4 separate regions of the Mus musculus genome follow, and regions 1, 2 and 3 are each reported to be linked to region 4. The links are microRNA targets in miRTarBase. Many come from high-throughput screens and were not tested one by one. Region 4 holds a microRNA gene; each other region holds the end of a gene's coding sequence.

The links. The annotated mature microRNA mmu-miR-1960 reads CCAGUGCUGUUAGAAGAGGGCU and lies in region 4 at 1,705-1,726, opposite strand. An mRNA with a match to its seed (bases 2 to 7 or 8) in the 3' UTR can be bound and repressed. Matches are read on the target gene's strand: a 7mer-m8 pairs with bases 2 to 8, a 7mer-A1 pairs with bases 2 to 7 and ends in A, and an 8mer does both.
Region 1: miRTarBase lists Desi2 as a target of mmu-miR-1960. Seed matches in the 3' UTR shown: 7mer-m8 at 811-817.
Region 2: the mRNA of Grik3 is a reported target of mmu-miR-1960. Seed matches in the 3' UTR shown: 7mer-A1 at 2,546-2,552.
Region 3: miRTarBase lists H2-T23 as a target of mmu-miR-1960. Seed matches in the 3' UTR shown: 8mer at 357-364.

The regions. Positions count from the first base shown.
Region 1 is chr1:178,248,391-178,252,921 of GRCm38, reverse strand. It overlaps Desi2 (desumoylating isopeptidase 2), which reads right to left. Exons shown (of 5, transcript NM_024282.3): 5 at 324-3,687. The coding sequence ends at 3,454. Among named protein-coding and RNA genes, the nearest start is that of Gm46174, 50 kb to the left of the region's middle.
Region 2 is chr4:125,707,706-125,712,232 of GRCm38, forward strand. It overlaps Grik3 (glutamate receptor, ionotropic, kainate 3), which reads left to right. Exons shown (of 16, transcript NM_001081097.3): 16 at 192-4,527. The coding sequence ends at 386. Among named protein-coding and RNA genes, the nearest start is that of Gm40249, 130 kb to the right of the region's middle.
Region 3 is chr17:36,025,994-36,030,503 of GRCm38, reverse strand. H2-T23 (histocompatibility 2, T region locus 23) reads left to right here. Exons shown (of 7, transcript NM_010398.3): 6 at 104-133; 7 at 273-527. The coding sequence ends at 316. The region is part of intron 1 of A930015D03Rik (RIKEN cDNA A930015D03 gene); the gene reads right to left. Among named protein-coding and RNA genes, the nearest start is that of H2-T23, 4.5 kb to the left of the region's middle.
Region 4 is chr5:30,167,914-30,172,476 of GRCm38, reverse strand. Mir1960 (microRNA 1960) reads right to left here and starts at 1,738; the gene lies at 1,661-1,738. It overlaps Hadhb (hydroxyacyl-CoA dehydrogenase trifunctional multienzyme complex subunit beta), which reads right to left. Exons shown (of 16, transcript NM_145558.2): 5 at 3,909-3,953; 6 at 2,882-2,981.

The DNA of each region.
Region 1 (4,531 bases), not on the chromosome of region 4:
ATGAACATAAGCACACAGGCTCAACCGCTGAAAGGAGATGGGGAAAGCCTTCCAGTCAGCACAGTTTGCCTCCGTTCCCCAGAAATCTGGGCTGCTACTTGTCGCTTGTGCACTCCTTGATAGCTAATGTGTTGGCCCAGGGGCTGAGCACAAGAGTAATTATTGTTTGAGTAAGGGAAACAGTGAATACAAGACATGGTACAGACGGGGCTGGCCACATTCCTGCAGAGCAGATCGAACTCTTGGATTGTACAAATAACCCCTTCCCAGCACAAAATACAGAACAGTGTTGTCTCTTAGAGGTCAGAAAGAACTATAAAACATTTCTTATAAAAGTAGTTTTTAATAAATTGATGTATTTCAATGTTGTAACATGATAGTCCAATTCTATATCAAGGTAGCAAAAGTGAAGGTTCCTGGTGTTTTATAAACACTGTGAATGACAGTACACTTGCATTCAACTTCACAGAAATTCTCTTCAGATCCATGAAGATTTGTTGACAGCTGTCCCACTTGTTGACAGTGGAGATGTGTGTGAATAGACTGAGCAGACAATGAAAGTCTAACAATCAAGCTACACTCTCAAACCATACCGGCAAGAATAAGATGTAATGAGAGGATGGCTAACTGCTGAAAAACTAACTTTTAACATTAGTCATTTAAAAAGAAAACATAGCATACACCAAAGCTATAGTAAATATATAATGGAGCCATAAGACAACACATGGGTTAGAGCTGTGAAGCAGTGAACATGGTTCTACCCGACTTATGATGGAAGAAGCCATGGAAACAGAGTCCTGCAGCTGTCTGCAGTGCTTAATCTACACACACACACACACACACACACACACACACACACACACACACACACACACACGGCTATCAATGGACTAACCCTGGAATTCCCTGCTCTGTAAGATGCTGGTGATGGTAGGTATGCTATTGCTGTGAAGCAGAGCAATAGTTGGCCGGAGTTCAGGCCTGGAGGTGCTCTAGGACAGTCACCACTTTCTACAGCCTCACAAGTCACACTTCTAAAGCCAATGCCACCAATGAGGATTTAAAAAGCCCAAGCATATTTAAAACAAGCACCAGAAACCAACTATCTGATCTATTACTGCTATTATTGTTCAAACACCTACCAGAAGAAACAGTTTCACTTGGTTACAACTACAAAATATGTAAACTCATGTAAATTCATGACTGGAGTTCTGACTTGTGGTTTTTCTTATGAGTTCATGTGGAGAACTCATTGTTACCTTCTGAGGGCAAGAAAAGCAAAGTTAATTAATCCATTGCTAATCTACACTGTGGAGAAGGTTGGTCTCACTAAAGAGATTTTCTTCCTTCCAACCTCAGGGACACCAAAGTGCAAGGAATCTTGTGTCCTGACTCTCAGGTGACCTGCACATGAGCTGTTTATTTCCTAGAAGACTTTTACATTTCTTCAAACGTCAAATGTCCCAGTCAGGCATGAGAACAGCAAGTCACTTGTGTGCTGAGCTGCTGAAATGAGGGTAAGCACAGAGATGTACCTGGCTATTTACCCAGAAGTGTCTAACTGAGGGGCCACTCCCTTGGGTCAAAACATTTATATCTCAATGGATTAGAAAACACCATGATCCACACTATTAATAAAACAACAACAACAACAAAAACCCAAGTCAACTGTACCAAGCATCTCTTTCTTACCAAGCTGGGCTGAGGGCTTGGGCTCTCGTGGTGACACCTCTTGGGGAGCATTAGTGTTTTGTCCTAAGTCTCATTTTCAGACCTGAACTAAGTTGACTCTTCATAAAGACCACATATTCTGTCTTGCTGCACCGTTCCTGAAACAAATGCTCTGCCCCACCCGGCACGGGTAGAGTAACTTGCAGCAGCTTTCTTCTCTGGAAACAGAACAGTCAAACAGTACAAAGTGACTTCGTTTTCCTCAGGCCAGTGTTAAATAACTCAAGGTTTACTTTCCCTATAAAGAGGGTGTGCTTACGTTAAAAAGTATCAATCAAAATCAGCTCATGGAAAAATTAAAGATGAAATTTACTCAAAGACATGTATCTTCACACAGAGAATGTGACTCTCACACTAATCACGTATCTAAAGCTGCAGTCAGTACCTTGGATGTTCCTATGTTGTATCCACTACTTACACAGGACACTCACTCTTAAGGCAGAACATTGATTGTGACATGTAATGATTGGTTCTACATCCAAGGGTCAACTGGGGTTGGACTCTAACAGATGACTTCCTCACTAAGACTTCTCTGTAGCACAACCTCATTCCCAAGAGTATGTTATGTAAGAGAGATACATTTGAGAACATAAAAAAATGAATTTAAGACACACAAAAGTATAATTTTCAACAAGATATCAATGAAAATAGAATCTCTATTATGAGGTGCGGCTACTCCCATCATGAACTAAGAAACTCCAATAAGCCATTTCTGATACGGTGTACACAAACTATTAAAGAATTACCTTTGGGGTGTGTTTTAGATTCTAGGTTTCAATATCCAGTACAAAAGGTAGCCTGGCTAGTTTAAAAAGCAGTTCAGTGTCAGCTTGTACTGCTGCTCAGGAAGCTAGGTTAGGATACTCCCACCCCACCAAAATATCCTGTACAGGGAGGAGTTAGAATGTATTAAAATAAAATGAAGCCCCTCTCCTAACACATGTGCAAAAACACTCATCAGTTATAAGAGTATCTTCATTAAAGAATCAGAGGCATCAAGCCAGGCAGATACAAGAGTACCACCCTGCTGAGGTGGGCATATCTGGGGTGAGACCAGCTGCTCCACGGGCACCTTGGGAAATGTGCTACTCAGAATGGGAAGAAGGGTGTGGAGAGGAACTGACCAGGACCCAAGCCCTCTGGCTGTGTGTGTGCTCCTTCATGTCAGGCCAGTTTGGATTCCGGTATCTGGGTGCCAACATTGGTAACAAAACAAATACAGATCTCCGGGACAGCTTGTAAGCAGCGATGAGGACTGCGGCTGTGGAAGCCTTTCCTTGTGCCTACTACCTATGCTGTAGCTCTGGCAACTGTCAGGAAGTGTACAAAGATCATCTGCCTAATATTTGAAGATGAGGATATTCTTCTTTCATGGTGGCAGAAGTCCATGCAAGATTTGTAAACAGTGGTACAAAATACTGTAAACGTAATTTAACAGAGCTCGTATAAAACAGAGGAAGTGAATCCAAATTTACAAGTGGGTTAAAAAGAAAAGAAAAGAGGGCAGCTTCATACAAAGTTCTCCCTCCTGCGCCAAGCTATTTTTCTTCTTTTTTGTTTTTTTGTTTTTGATTACAAATATAATCCTGAGCTGAAAAACTGGGATTTGGGGGAGAGCCATCTTTGCATACAAAATATCCAAAGGACATTTAACTCTATTTTCTTTTTCTCTAGTGATACTCAACTGCCAGAGACAGTTCTGAAGGCCTGACTTCAGAGGTCTTATAGTTTAGTGTGACGCCCAGTTCTGGCACCAGCTGCAGCACTTGCCATGGCACTGGATGCGGCTGCATCCTCTGCTTCTTCTAGTTCATCCTGGAGTTCTTGGCTGACACTAGACTGAAGTGCAGCAGGAGTGAGCCACTCCTTTGGCAGGCAACTCTGTAGAAAGGGTATACAGGAGCTGAAGTAGGCCAGCCGGTTGATCCAGCGAGGAATCTCTTTCCCACAGAGAATCTAAGGAGGACAGAGCTCTGTATTAGGAAAAAGAGATCAATGCTGATGGTACTATTAAAGGGAGGGGGAGATGGAGGGGGAGGAGGAGGGGGTGGCTGTAGAGAAAATATACTGCAGACCAGCTTGCCCTGAGAAGCAGACTACTCCAGTCTGCTGAGAAGCAGTGCCTTAACTCAGGAGCCGGACACTACCAAGCCCCAATCCTTTCTTTCAGCCATGTACTTTTTACATTTGTGAAGTCAAGCCAATTCCCCTTGGTTTCTGTCTGTCTTGGATCATTGAGCTACTTTGAAACATGTAAAATTACTTTTAAACAAACAGAAGGAAAGAGGCTTGCTAGTACAGGTGTTATTAGAGTAGAGAAGCCTCATGCTGTTAGAAGAGTCAGTCTTTGGTATCTTCTTGTTAATTCTTTTCCCAGGTTCTTTCATACTTTCTTCCATTTCTACCACCCCACTTTCCCTTCAGCTGCATTCTGTCTTTGCTTTCAACCATGACCCATTTGTTTCAAGGAAGCTCATATGGTTCAGAAAGAAGAGTCGACAAATGAAGACAAGCTCCATAATATCCTGACAGAAGAGGGACTATGGTCAGGACAAGGCATGGAGGCCTAGCTAGCCTTTGGCCTGAGGACTCTAGGGGGTACAAGTGGGTGCCAGCTGGAATTCTTCTTGGCTGATAATCTGCTGCATTTCTCTGCCCACTTCTTATTCTTACAGGTCCTTAGGACTGGGGAGTCTTGTCCCTCTTATTTCAGAGAGTGAGAGGCAGTTCAATTACAATGTTGACTTTACCCTCTTATCATCTACACACACACACACACACACACACACACACACACACA
Region 2 (4,527 bases), not on the chromosome of region 4:
TTAGGCTGCTGTGAAACAGAAAGATGATGCCATCTGCCCCCCTTCCCCCCCAGTCTACAGAGGACTTTCCAGTCATCTTTCTAGGGCTCTCAAGACCTTGGCAGGGCTGTAGGTGTAAAAAGCCACAGGTAGTCTTGTCTTAGTGTCAGGAGGAGAGGATCTGTCTCACTCTGCCTCTTGTCCCTCCCCAGCGCTCCTTCTGCAGCACAGTGGCCGACGAGATCCGCTTCTCCCTCACCTGCCAACGGCGTCTCAAGCACAAGCCCCAGCCTCCTATGATGGTCAAGACGGATGCGGTTATCAACATGCACACCTTTAATGACCGAAGGCTGCCAGGCAAGGACAGCATGAGCTGCAGCACCTCGCTAGCCCCTGTCTTCCCCTAGACATGGGTCCAGCGGGGACTTCAGGCCCAGTCCACGCAGAGGAAGGCAAAGGAGACCCGAAAGGACGGACATCCTCATCTCGTGCTGGCCTTGGGGATGGAGCTGCTGGCCGCATCCAGCTGTGAACCATCAGCTCTTAACCTACCGGGAAACCCACACGGACCCTCGGCCGGCTGCTCGGGCTTCATCTCCTCTTGTCTTGTCTATGGCTTTCTGAAGCTGTGAAGGCCAGCGGAAGCACATGCCTCTCAGGCTCCATCACCAACCATCTCTCTTCTCCTCCATAGCCAGGTATTTCTGGCAGGCCTCTGCCGAGGCCGCAGAACACGGAAGATGGCTCTAAAGCTCCCCTCATTCCCCTCAAGCCAGGCCTTCTAGCACGCAGCCACGAGAGCAGAGACTCCGACTCGGGACACCTTATGGGTGTTTGGATGAGGCTGCCAGTGGGAGCTCAAAGGCAGTCATCCATACCTGGACAGAAGCAACGCTTCAGCCCTTAAGGGCTATTCACCTGGGTCTGCTCATCTCAATATGGCTTCACCAACAGCAGCAGCCCCTTGGCAACATGAAAAGCTGTGTGGAAAGGAGGTGTTTGGTACGGGAGAAGGAAACACAGATGGAGACTGTGATCTCAGATGCTTCGGGTCAGTGTCCTGAGCCACAAACGTCTCGAGAGTCCCCAGGAATGCGAACGAGGTCGTCATCACAGCAGATTGTTCTCCAAGGCTGCACAGAACAGAGAAGGTGCCCTCCCTCACAAGGAACGTCCAAAGACTCAGTTGACATTGGTAGGCCAGCAGAAGAAATATGGACTCTATAAAAATCCCACAGGCCCTTCAACCAATAGACCAACTTTGCTGGCAAACAAGCCAGCAGTCGGGACCCTGGGTTCTCTACCATCTACTCATTGGCGATTTCCTGTCCCCGGCCATTTGAATTTGGCCTCCCTCTGTCATCCTGAGAAGAGAAGAGCGGTCTCAGCTGAAGCGCAAGCCAAGTCAACAGCTCCTCAGAAGAGGAATTGCTGTCCCCCCTCCACAGACTAACTTTGGGGTAGGTGGGAGAAGCCAGAGGGGACCTGAAGAACTTTCTGGGTACGCCCAACCTAATGAGCCCCCTAAAGAAAGAAAGCTTTCAGGGACAGGATATAAGACCTCCAGAGGCCCCCAGGGTAGGAAGGGAGTAGCTGCCTCCTGGAAGATTAACCAAAGACCCAACACAGAGACACAAGGCCATTCTGGCCCCTGATCTCTTTTCTGGAGCAGCTATGGTCTTAGGGGATTGAAGGGAGACCCCAGAGGAGAAGCCAGAGAAGGTGACAGCCAAAGGGATGAGCAGATGGCCTGTGGTTCCATCTCTGGAGGTTTGAAACCGTCATGGTCATTGGAAAGGATCAGATGTGAGGGGTTAGGCAAAAAGTGTCCTTACAGAGAGCATGACAGGGCCATAGGGGCCTCCACAGCTGGATGGATGTTGGTCTCTGATCAGGGACCAGGGTGAGCAATATGGGTTGAGAACTGAGAACTGGGGGACACCAGTCACCCACAATCCCTCACTTTTCTGGTGCTGCTGGAGGGGGCAGGCTTGGATGAGCTACATCTAGAGCTTAAGTCTTCTCAGCAGAGGTGAAGGAACCCCTTCAGCCAACGGGGTGGCCCCCATGATGGGCACATGTGATCACTCCCACCATGCCGGTTCTTGGGAGCTCTGGCTGGCTGGCTGCACTGGGGGAGGGAGGAAAGGGGAGACTCGCAGCCAAGCCCAGTGCACATGATGATAGGAGAAGCCACGCTGGCCCGGGAGAGGAGAGCACACATGTCTGCGTGTTTGACTTTCTGTGTGTGAGTTCCAGCCGCTGGTGATGAAGGACAGATATAACACAGCCCTAGCAGGCAGGAATAGGGGCCTCCTTTAGGACGAGTGTGTGTGTGTGTGTGTGTGTGTGTGTGTGTGTGTGTGTGTGAGAGAGAGAGAGAGAGAGAGAGAGAGAAACGGGTAGCAAAGAGCTCAATCAGGACCGGTAACAGAGTCTCATCTATGTAAAAACAGGAGAAGCCATGTGGAGATGGGGCTCTGGTGAGTGTATAATGGATGCAAGCGTGAATAAATGTGTGTGTGTGTGTGTGTGTGTGTGTGTGTGTGTGTGTGTGTGTGTGTGTGCACTGAATGGCAGAGGGTAGGGACCAGGACACAGCCTGAAGTATAGCCAAATACTTGTAAAAGGAGAAGCCATGTCATCAGAGATCCTTGTGTGAGTGCGTGTACATCCACACTCGTGTGCATCCACATTTGTGTGCAGGCTTGTGTGCCCTGAAGACAGCACGGGAGGGCAGACCAGACTGCTGTGCCCATTGGGTGGGTGTGTGCTATACAGGAGGAGTCGTAAAAATGGAATGAGTGAGTGTGTGTGTGTGTGTGTGTGTGTATGTGTGTGTGTGTGTACTCATACCCATGTATGTGCAGACATGTACCTAAGTTCCAATTCAAATCCTGCGTTGAGGCAGCAGAGCAGTTAGTACGGCAGGGTACCAGGATGTGTCAGCATGCCTGCTATGGGAGGGATCACTGGCCACAGCTTTCCTGAGGGCTCCATGGGAAAATGCACAGGGAGACACCTTCTGGGGCTCACCTTCTGGGGTGATGCCTTCTCCTTTGCTGTTCATAGAGTGTCCTGTTGAGAGGGGAAAAATTCTTCCTTCCTTCCTTCCTTCCTTCCTTCCTTCCTTCCTTCCTTCCTTCCTGCCTGCCTTCCTTCCTTCCTGCCTTCCTTCCTTCCTTCCTTAAATCACCCCTACTGACAGGATCCTCATGAAACCATTGTCAACTCCGTTCTCATCCGCTGTAGTCTTTAACCACTGTCTTCTGTTGTCCAATACCATTTTATAACACACACCCACCTCCATGTTCATATCACACATGTGCTTTTGTGCATGACACTGCAGACGTGTCATGTTCTTTCGAGGCTATGCACATATGTAGACTGTGATGGGAGAAGGGACGGGGTGTGGTTGGTGGGAAGGGTGTTCAGAGAGGTAATGACCACTGGGTGACGGCAGTGGGGGTGGGGGTTGGTTATAGACTCATTCCGGGAAGAGGGGTGGCGTGCTGCAGGATCTCCCCTCCCACCTGAGCCTTATATCCAGAGGTATGGCTAACGCTTGCCCTCTGGCTGAAGTCCTGTGTTTGTTCTAGAGACCAGCCCAGTCCCAAACAGCCTGGAGACCACCCTGCCCAGCTAAGCTGTGTCTCTGCCAGGGTAGGGAAGGGAGTCAAGAGGGAGGCAGATCATTCAAGTGAAAACCTGTCCCAACCCCCTAAGGGGTGCACAGAGCTGAGGCTGGAACACACAAATGCTCTGAGGAGCAATGGGAAACACAAAGATTGGTTTGGATGGAGCAGATGGGACATACCTGAGCAGGACCATGGCTGGCTGGCTCTGTCTGATCATATAGGCCAGCCCCGAATAGAAGAATGCCTCACACAACTATGTCTGGGCTTGAGCTCCACCTATTTATACCAGCCCTGTGGTGGGGCAGCACCCATTCTGTCCGGGCCCTGGGGGCTATTGGACAAAGACTGCCTCTACCTTGGCCTGTGCCTGCTTTCTCTTATGGACAGTCACTGATGAAATTTGAGCACTTTGTGGGGGCTCAGGTGGCTCCTGGGCAGTTGTGTTGGCCAGTGAGTTGGACTTAGAATCCTTGAGGTAAGAGACTGCCCCTCGGTCAGCCTGGACTGTCACAGCTGGAAGAGCACATGCTGAGCCCTGCCTTTGTAGCATGCAATGCGGGGAGGGGTGTGCAGATTAAATATCTCCACGAGGGAGCGGAAGTCAGACCAGGCTCACGTTCACCAAGAACCGTCTGTCCCTTCCTACCTTCCTTTCTGGTCCAGGGAGGGCTGAAGGTGGGGTGCAGCTGCTGCTGCTTCATGCCGCATGAGGCCATGCTACACACACACACACACACACACACACACACACACACACACACACGCCCCAAAGCCATTCCCTACTGTAGGCACCAGCATCTGAACATGACAAACTCCATGGTCCACCTCTGGAATTGCCCTGCGTGGATGCCCACCTGGAAGGGCCTTCATGCCATGGACAAACAACCGTATGGAGTTAACATCTGGGACC
Region 3 (4,510 bases), not on the chromosome of region 4:
GCCACACCCACATTGCTGCAGTCTCCAACTGGGTCAGCTGTCAGTTCCGGGAACTCCCTAGGGCTGGTGTTTCTCTGGTCTCTCATGGCTTTTCTTCTCACAGGTGTAAAAGGATGCTATGCTCATGTTCTAGGTAAGTGCGAGAGAGGGGCAGGGGACACCCTTGTCCCTGAGGCTCTCAGGATGGAGCTGGGATTTGTTCCAGCCCATAATCTCCTCTTGCCACATCCTCTCTGTCTCCTCTGTGTGCCTTGTTATCTCTTCTACTGCAGGCAGCAAGAGCTTCCAGACCTCTGACTGGCCTCAGAAGGCATGAAAATCCCTGGGGGGGCTGGTGAGATGGCTCAGTGGGTAAGAGCACTGACTGCTCTTCTGAAGGTCCAGAGTTCAAATCCCAGCAACCACATGGTGGCTCACAACCATCCGTAACGAGATCTGACTCCCTCTTCTGGAGTGTCTGAAGACAGCTACAATGTACTTACATATAATAAATAAATAAATAAATAAATAAATAAATAAATAAATAAATGAATGAATGAATGAATGAAAATCCCTGGGGGCCTGGGACTGGACCTGAGGCACAAGGGAGACCGGGGTTCAATTCCTAGCACTGACATGGCAGGTGTCTGTTACTAGTAACAAACAGTTCATGTCTCATGAATGTAGGCATGAATGCAGCTAAAGCACCTACATACATAAAATTAAACCTTTAAAAAATAAAAGGTGTGTGGACAAACAATATTGTCTTTGTAAATGTTCTGAGGATGGCAGGGAGTTACAGCGCCATAGCAGTTTCTATTGTTTGGTGTTCACCATCTGTCTGGTTGTTTTTCTCCTTGATGTGATAAGACAACCATGACCAAGGCAACTTTTAGAAGAGTTTATTGGGGGCTTAGAGTCTGTGACCCTATGGAAGGGAACGCGACAGCAGTCAATCAGGCATGGCGCTGGAGCAGTAGCTGACCAGGAGCATGAGACAGAGAATGCTGAATAAAAATGGCTCAGCAGGCTTTGGAAACCTTAAAGCCCACCCCTGGTGATTCGCCTCTTCCAGCATGGCTGCTTCTCCTAATGTCCCCAAAGAGTTCCACCAACTGTGACTGTAAGACCCCCTTTCGGGGACCCCCACTCTAGTCTCAAGAGTGAGAGAGCACCCAAAGAAACACGAGAATCCATCTTGCTGTAGTCACATGAGGCAGTTTAATGATGGAGCTCTGGACCTACATGCATCCCACACAGGAGATAACGGATGTTGGCCTCAAAAGTTAGGGGTTTATATAGGAAAGGAGTGGGGTAGGGGAAGAATTGGCACAGTTACACACAAATGTGCAATTTAAACATCAGAGAGTAACTCTAAAGGGAGGGTGTCTATCTTGGTTGGCAGGACATCTGGCTAAAACCCAAAACATATCAGCAAGTGGTCCCTTACTCATCTTGAGCTTGTCCAGAGATTGTCCTTGTGTGCCTCTCTTATCTCAAAGGCTAGTTGGTTCCTGGGATGGCTTTACAGCCTTTGTTCTTTGCTCTAAGCCCAAAAAGCCCCCTAACTAGCAAGTCACATGAGACATGGACCTTGAATAAACTTTCTGGCTAGGGCTTTAAAGTCTTGAATTTAGTTTCCTTTCTTTCATTACCAAGTACTCAAACATCACATTTGTAAGGAGTAGCAGTGCAACCTGGGGCTTCCAGTCACACATCCCGTATAGTATGGCAACACAAGAGATCTGCTGTCACTTCACCTCCCACCATCAACAGGAACCGATGCTCAGCCCTAAGGCCTCCGCACTCATCAAGGTTTCTGTCATTTCTCTCTTTGTGCCCCCAGCCTGAGTGAATCCAGCTAACTGAGAGCCTGTGTCCTTGGTTAGCATGACCAGGCAGGTCCACATTGATTCCCTGGTCCACGTGAGCTGTGCCCACCAGTGCATCATCACTGTAACCAAAGGCATGTGCAATTTTTAAAAAATACTTATTTATTTATTTAATGTATATGAATATACTGTAGCTGTCTTCAGACACACCAGAAGAGGGCATCAGATCCCATTACAGATGGTTATGAGTCACCATGTGGTTGCTGGGAATTGAACTCAGGACCTCTGGAAGAGCAGTCAGTGAGTGCTCTTAACTGCTGAGCCACCTCTCCAGCCCCTGGTGAGACAGACTTTCACTATATAGCTTTGGCTGGCTAGGAGCTCACTGTGTAGACCAGGCTGGCCTCAAACTCAGAGAGATTTGCCTGCCTCAGCCTCCTGAGTGCTGGGATTAAATGAGTGAGCCACCGTGCCTGGTGCCATTCTTTTGGCCCTTTTGGATCAGCATCTCCCAGGTACTGTAAAAACAGTCCAGTCTGGACCATGGGATTGTGCATAAGGTGTTGCCTCCCTCATTCCCAATTCCCAGCAAAGACTTGCCTTCTTCTGTAGTTTCCCATGGGACAGGAAAGTATCATGGATATGGAATATAAACGAATCCATTAAAGCAAGGCTTCTAAAACTCTCTACTTACGACTTCTTTTCTGCCAAGATATTTTTACATGGCCTTAGGCTTTGGGGAGTATAAAACAGTTATACAAATCAAACACTGATAATAAAACAATTTATTTTAAAACAGATTATTTGTCCTGTGGTGGTGGCGCACCCCGTCAATCTGAACACTTGTGGGTCAGAGGCAAATGGATCTGAGTTCAAGGACAGCCTAGTCTATTGTGTGAGTTTCAGAACAGCCAGGGCAACACAGAGAAACTGTCTTGATAAACCAAACAAACAAACAAACAAAAAGTATTATTTGATATACATATGTAACTTTTACAAGTTATTAAAAATTAAAGCAAATTTCTATACACCATGCTTATTTTAAAGAGATTTAAACTTAGTCAGGTAGGTATGCTGTTGCATGCCTGTAATCCTAGCAGTTGAGAAGTCGAGACACAAGGATCAGGAGTTCAAAGGCATCCTTATTTACAAAGTGATTTCAAGGTCAGCCGGGCTACCGGAGAAACTCTCTAAAAGCAGACAGGGGAAGAGTCGGGGGATGGTTAAATATTGGCTAAGTATAAGATCCCGAAGAACACAGAGCATCTTCGATGTTTTTCATAGCTATTGATAATTTGATTTTATAGTCATCAGTACTGAGAATGCCTCTTTATATAATCACATGGGACAAAATGATAGAAGTATATTTAAGGCCATTCAAAACACAGGCCCTAATCCCAAGCCCAAATTCACTTAACAATTTTTTTGTGTTTATTTTTTTGTTTGTTGTTTTTGTTTTGGTGTCTATTTTTTGAAACAGGGTCTCTCCTGTACCCCAGGTTGGCCTCCTATTTGCTCGGGAGTTGAGGATGTGCCATAATGCATGATTTATGCAGTGCTGACCACAAAATTCAGGGCTTCGTGTGTTCTAATCAACTAAATCCCCGGCTGGAGCAGTCGTTTGGTTTTGTCAAGATTTAATTCAGCAACTCAAATACCAAGTTTTTATTTTTATTTTATGGGAGTGCCTGCATGTATATCTGTGTACCGTGTGTGTGTGTGTGTGTGTGTGTGTGTGTGTGTATGTATATATATGTGTGTGTGTGTGTGTGTTGCCTTTGGAGACCAAAAGAAGCATCAGATCCCAGGGCCTGGAGTTACAGACAGCTGTTCCTTGCTGTGTAGGTAGGTGTGTAGGGTAGGGTGGTGATCAGAACCAAGACTGAGGCAGAGTTAGTTATGTGACGAGGCCAGAGTGTGCACTGCCAGGAACAGCTTAAAGGCACTGCACCTTTTGATTCCTAATTACTTTTTGATTACTGTGCACTCTGAGACCTTGCTATTGTTCATGGCCCACCACCTTAGCTATGCACATTCAAGACCCACTCTCTAGAAGGTCTTGAAAGATGGATTTCCCTCATGATGCTGCAAATCACCCCAGCAATGTGTTCTAGTTTCTGTTCTATTGCTGAGATAAAACACTTTATCCAAAAGACAAGGTAGGGACGGGAAAGTCTATTTGGCTTACAATTCCAGGGTACGGTCAGTCCATCACAGAGGGAAACCACGGTGGCGGGAGCCTGAGACAGCTGCTCACGTCATGTCCACAGTCATGAGAGATGAATGTGTCCATGTTGCCTGCTTGCTATTCCACACATATGACAAAGGAACTCGCTTCACACCCAGAGAAGTTTGGCAGGGACCATGAAAGATGTTGCTTACTGACTGGCAAGTGTGGCTAATGCTCAGCTAGCTTTCTAATACAGCCTGGGACCTCCTGCCTAGGGGGATGGTGCTGCCTAAGAAAGCATCATCAATCAAGAAGACTCCCTGGAGACATGCCCGCTGGTCAGTCTGATGTAGATAACGCCTCAGTTGAGATTCTGTTCCCCTGAAATTCTGGGTTGTGTCAAATTGGCATTTAAAGTTCACCAGAACACAGTGGAGGGATGCGCGGGGTATTCTAACCTCCTCCTCAGCACTTACTCACTCTCACATCCTGCAGACACACCACTAGGGCTTCCCATAAGCATGCATAA
Region 4 (4,563 bases):
TCTGTAGGGAGGTCTGATACTAAGTGCCTGTTTGTACTAAAAACTACTTCCTGGCATCTGCATGTCAACTTCTTAATCTGAACCAGTTGGAAAGGAAATCAGAAGCAGGTGTTGGGAGCAAAAGAAAAGACTCCACAGTGGGACAAGGGTAAGGGCACTCAGGTCATATAACAGCTTGATCCTCATGAGGTCACTGCAGCATGTTACCCTTGGCCCAGCTGACACAGAGTTCTAACAAAGCTTTAAATAGAACTGGTAGCTGGTGACCCTTGTCCACATTCTTCTATTTAAAGACTGAATCCCTTTCAAGGCACCAAGGAGAAAAGAGGAAACTGAGCTGAAGGAGAAATGCACTGAGGTCTGTCAGCAAAGTCAGCTCTGATAGGGGCACATAACCCTTTAGGAGGACTTCATATTAATATTAGGACAGGTCCTTGTGGGCTGGAGAGATGCTCAGAGGTTAAGAGCACTGACTGTGGGAAGAGCTGAGGTAGGGGGTGCTGATAATGGGATGTAAAGTGAATAAACAAATTAATTAATTTAAAAAAAAGAAGAGGAAAAGAAAGAGTACTGGTTGCACTTCCAGAGGTCCTGAGTTCAATTCCCAGTAAGCACATGGTGGTTCACAACCAATTATAATGGGATCTGGTGCCCTTTTCTGGCATGCACCCATACATGCAGGCAGAATACTGTATCCATAATAAATAAATAATCTTTAAAAATATATATTAGCGGGGGCTGAAGAGATGGCTCAGAGGTTAAGAGCACTGACTGCTCTTTTGAAGGTCCTGAGTTCAAACCCCAGCAACCACATGGTGGCTCACAACCATCTGTAATGAGATCTGATGCCCTCTTCTGGGGTGTCTGAGGATAGCTACAGTGTACTTACATAAAATAAATAAATCTTTAAAAAAAATATATATATATATGCTATGCGCATAGATTCTAGTGAAATTCTTTTGCTGGGGACTTTACGTTTTACTACTTATTTTCCTACTTGTCCCATCACCTCTACCTTTCTCCTTAGCTACTAAAATGACCTGGAAGTTAGGTGGCTTAGGTCTTTAATCTCAGTACTTTGGAGGCAGGTGCATCTCTGTAAGCTTGGGGCCACCCTGGTCTACACAGTAAGTTCCAGGCCAGCCAGGGCTTCATAAGAGTGAAACCCTGCCCATCTTAAAAATAAGAGATTATGTGGCGTACAACATGACTGCTATTAGTATTAGGTCCAGGGAAGAAACTTCCTCATGCCAATCAACAGCTGGAATGTGCATATAGATGTAAAACTTTCAGAAAAAAACTCAGAGAAAAACACCATGGTTTTGGTTTGAGAAAAGAAGAACGTAGAGAAAATTGAAATTTACTTTTTCAGTCTTATGAAAGTCACTTCATATCCATGATCCAGAAGTTCCAAGCACTGTAATCAACTCGATGGCTTTATGTAGCCATGATTTTTTAAAATAAATTTCCTAATATGGTTTTTAATGAACTAATAATCTTCCATCATTTTGTTGAACCATAATTTATCCAACCATTCGATGTTGAACAAGATAAGTAGCTCTTCTGAGATTTACCTGTCTATTTTCTCCCGCAAACCTTCTGTCCCTTTTTCACTAACCCACCAGAGCTCTTTATTAGGTGTGTTCAAAATGTGCCAATGCAGAGGAAAAGTCAGTGCTGCAGAAGAGAGCTCTCCCTGCTCTCAGCCCTCTTCTAACAGCACTGGCTGCTCACTCTGTGACCTTGGGCAGTGCTGGAATTGCAGCTGCTTTAACATTCACTGTGTGAGAGAACTAATGGCTTTGATCTGCACATTTGCCCTTCTATCTTGGCTAACAATGGAAGTAATTATCCTCATAACTATAATGAACACAGAAGCACAGACAAGAAATAAGATAAATATGTGAAAGCCTACTTTATCCAAATAATTGAAACAAAGCCCAGAAGACGGGTTTGAACTAGTCACTGTCAAATGCCTGTGTGATACTCATATTAGTTTCAAGGCTGTCATTATCTCCATTGCCCAATAAACACTAGATGTGTGCCAACTAGGTTAAAGGTAAACTCCGAGGAAGTAGCTACATTAAAAAAAACAAACCTCTGCCTAGTGTCATCTAGTCAGAGGTAGCAAGTCATAGGTAAGGCTTCCGCCTGCTACAAAAACCAAGTTATGAACTTGGCTACACTGTTCAAGCTTAATTAGAAACCATGAAGGCTAACATTACAAAGAGCAGCATCAGCCATATTGCTATACTGTTTCTCTAACACAAGAGACAAACTAACATTTCTTAAAGCACTCAAACAATTTATCTGACCTACAGCAAAATGTGCATACATAGTAATAATATACATCATCTGATTTTAAGTGAAATACATGCTTAGCTAATGGATCTTAAGAGTTTAATGACTTTAAAATGGTAAATTCTAGGCTGGGCATGTATCTTAGTGGTAGAACACTTGCCTTGCCTGACATATGCAAGGCCTTGGGTCAGATCTCTAGCAACACATGCACATACAAAAGAAATAAATTATTAAATATTAACTCAAATTCAAATAGACTTTTTCTAATTTTGGGGAAGGGTGTGATGGTGGGGGAGACAGGGTCTCACTATGTAGCCCTGGATGACCTGAAACTTACTGATCTGCTTGCCTCTCCCTTCTGAGTATTAAAGGTGGATCACCAAGCCCAGCTCTGTTGCCACTGTTTTGGAGACAAAGTCCCACTATAGCCCAGATAATATGGAATTTACTAATTCCCAGATAGGCCTTGGACTCCATGGTAATCCTCCTGCCTCATCCTCCCAAGAGTATATTACAAGCATCAGCCACTATATCCAGCTTTATCAATCTCTGTAAACAATATAAATTTTGCTTTACTCACCTCTCTAGCCACATTGCTTGTTTTCACTTCCTGAATAACTGTACCAAAGATGATATAATCAACAACATCCTTTGGAATATTGGTCCGATGCAACAAACCCCTAAAAGCAGAAATCCAAAGAAAAGAAACACTTCATACATGAAGGTATGCCAGAGAACATCACATAAAACACTACACGTTTTAAACAGGGAAGCCATGCACTGGAGGTACAGGCCAGAGGACAGTGCTCATTTAGTACATGCAAGGCCCTCGGTTCAATCCTAATCTCCACAAAAACACAAAGACAAGTCTTTCCTTTTCAAAGGCCAGACACAGACATTTAACAGCTTATCAACAGGAAAATGAGTGAAGAGTAATATGAAGAGCCAATATTCGATGGCCACTTGGTAATGAGACATTAGAAAAAAATAATCAAAACCAACTCGGGCAGGTGGAGTTAGCTCAGTGATAGAACACTTGCATTGGAAGCAAAACCCTGGTCAGTCCTCAGCTCTGCCTGGGGTTGGGGGTCGTGGTGGGATAATTTAGGAAGTCAGACATGGTAATGCATGACTTTAATACCAGAACTGGAGAGGCAGAAGAAGGCAGCTCTCTGAAGTCCAAGGGCACCCTGGCTTACAAATCAATCCAGGCCAGCCAGAGATATATATCAAGGTCTGGACTCAGTAAACAGACAAACAAATAAAAAGCTTGGGGCCACTCAGAAGCTGTTAAAATTTAACATATATGGTTAAAATAAAATTTAATCGTATCATGACATACACCTTTAATCTTGACAACTGGGAGGCAGAGGTAGATGAATCCCTGAGTTCAAGGCTAGCCAGGTCTATAAGTCAGTTTCAGGTCAATCAGAATTATATGGTGAGACCCTGTATCAAAGAACCTTGCTAAGAGCTAGTTAATATTGCTTCTTTCCATGTAAAGTTTAACAGCCTAGATATGAAAATTCTACAAAACATGCTACTTCAAGTACAAAAACTATAAAAAGTATTTTAAGTTGAAAGAACAGGAAACTTGATTTACTTACGAAAGTGCAGCTCTAGCCAAGTCATGTGGCATTAGGTCTTTATACCTGGGGAAAGAAAACATAATTTAAACCAAAAGCCTAGAGTTTCAATAGAACTTAAAAAAATCAAATGCATACAGATTGTCTAACTTATGCTGACAATGCAGCTAATCTTACTCCCAAGTCAGTCTATCAGTTCATATGAAGAAATAGTGTGACTTTGCTATCTGTCATCTTAAAAAGTCTGACAAGCCCTAAACCTCTACAGAACTTGCTGTCTGACAAAATAGACATCCCCTCTTTTTTTTTTTTTTTTGGTATCATTTAGTGTTGTGTGTATTTGTATACTTGGGGAAGTCAAGGGACAACGTGTACAAGTCCCAGCTTTCCAGGGACTGTACTTATGTCACAAGTTGGGTAGCAAGCACCTTTACCCATTGAGCTGTCTCACTACATCTTTCATGCCTTGCATTTTAAAAATTCACTTATTTTTGTTTTATCTGCATTGATGTTTTGCCTGCATGGATGTCTGTATGAGGGTGTTGGATCCCCTGGAATTGGAGTGCAGGGTTGGGAATTGCACCCAGCTCCTCTGGAAGAACATCCAGTGCTGCTGAGTCCTGCTGAGCCATCTCTTCAGTCCCTATGCCTTGCCTCTAAAAGGTAATATATCTTC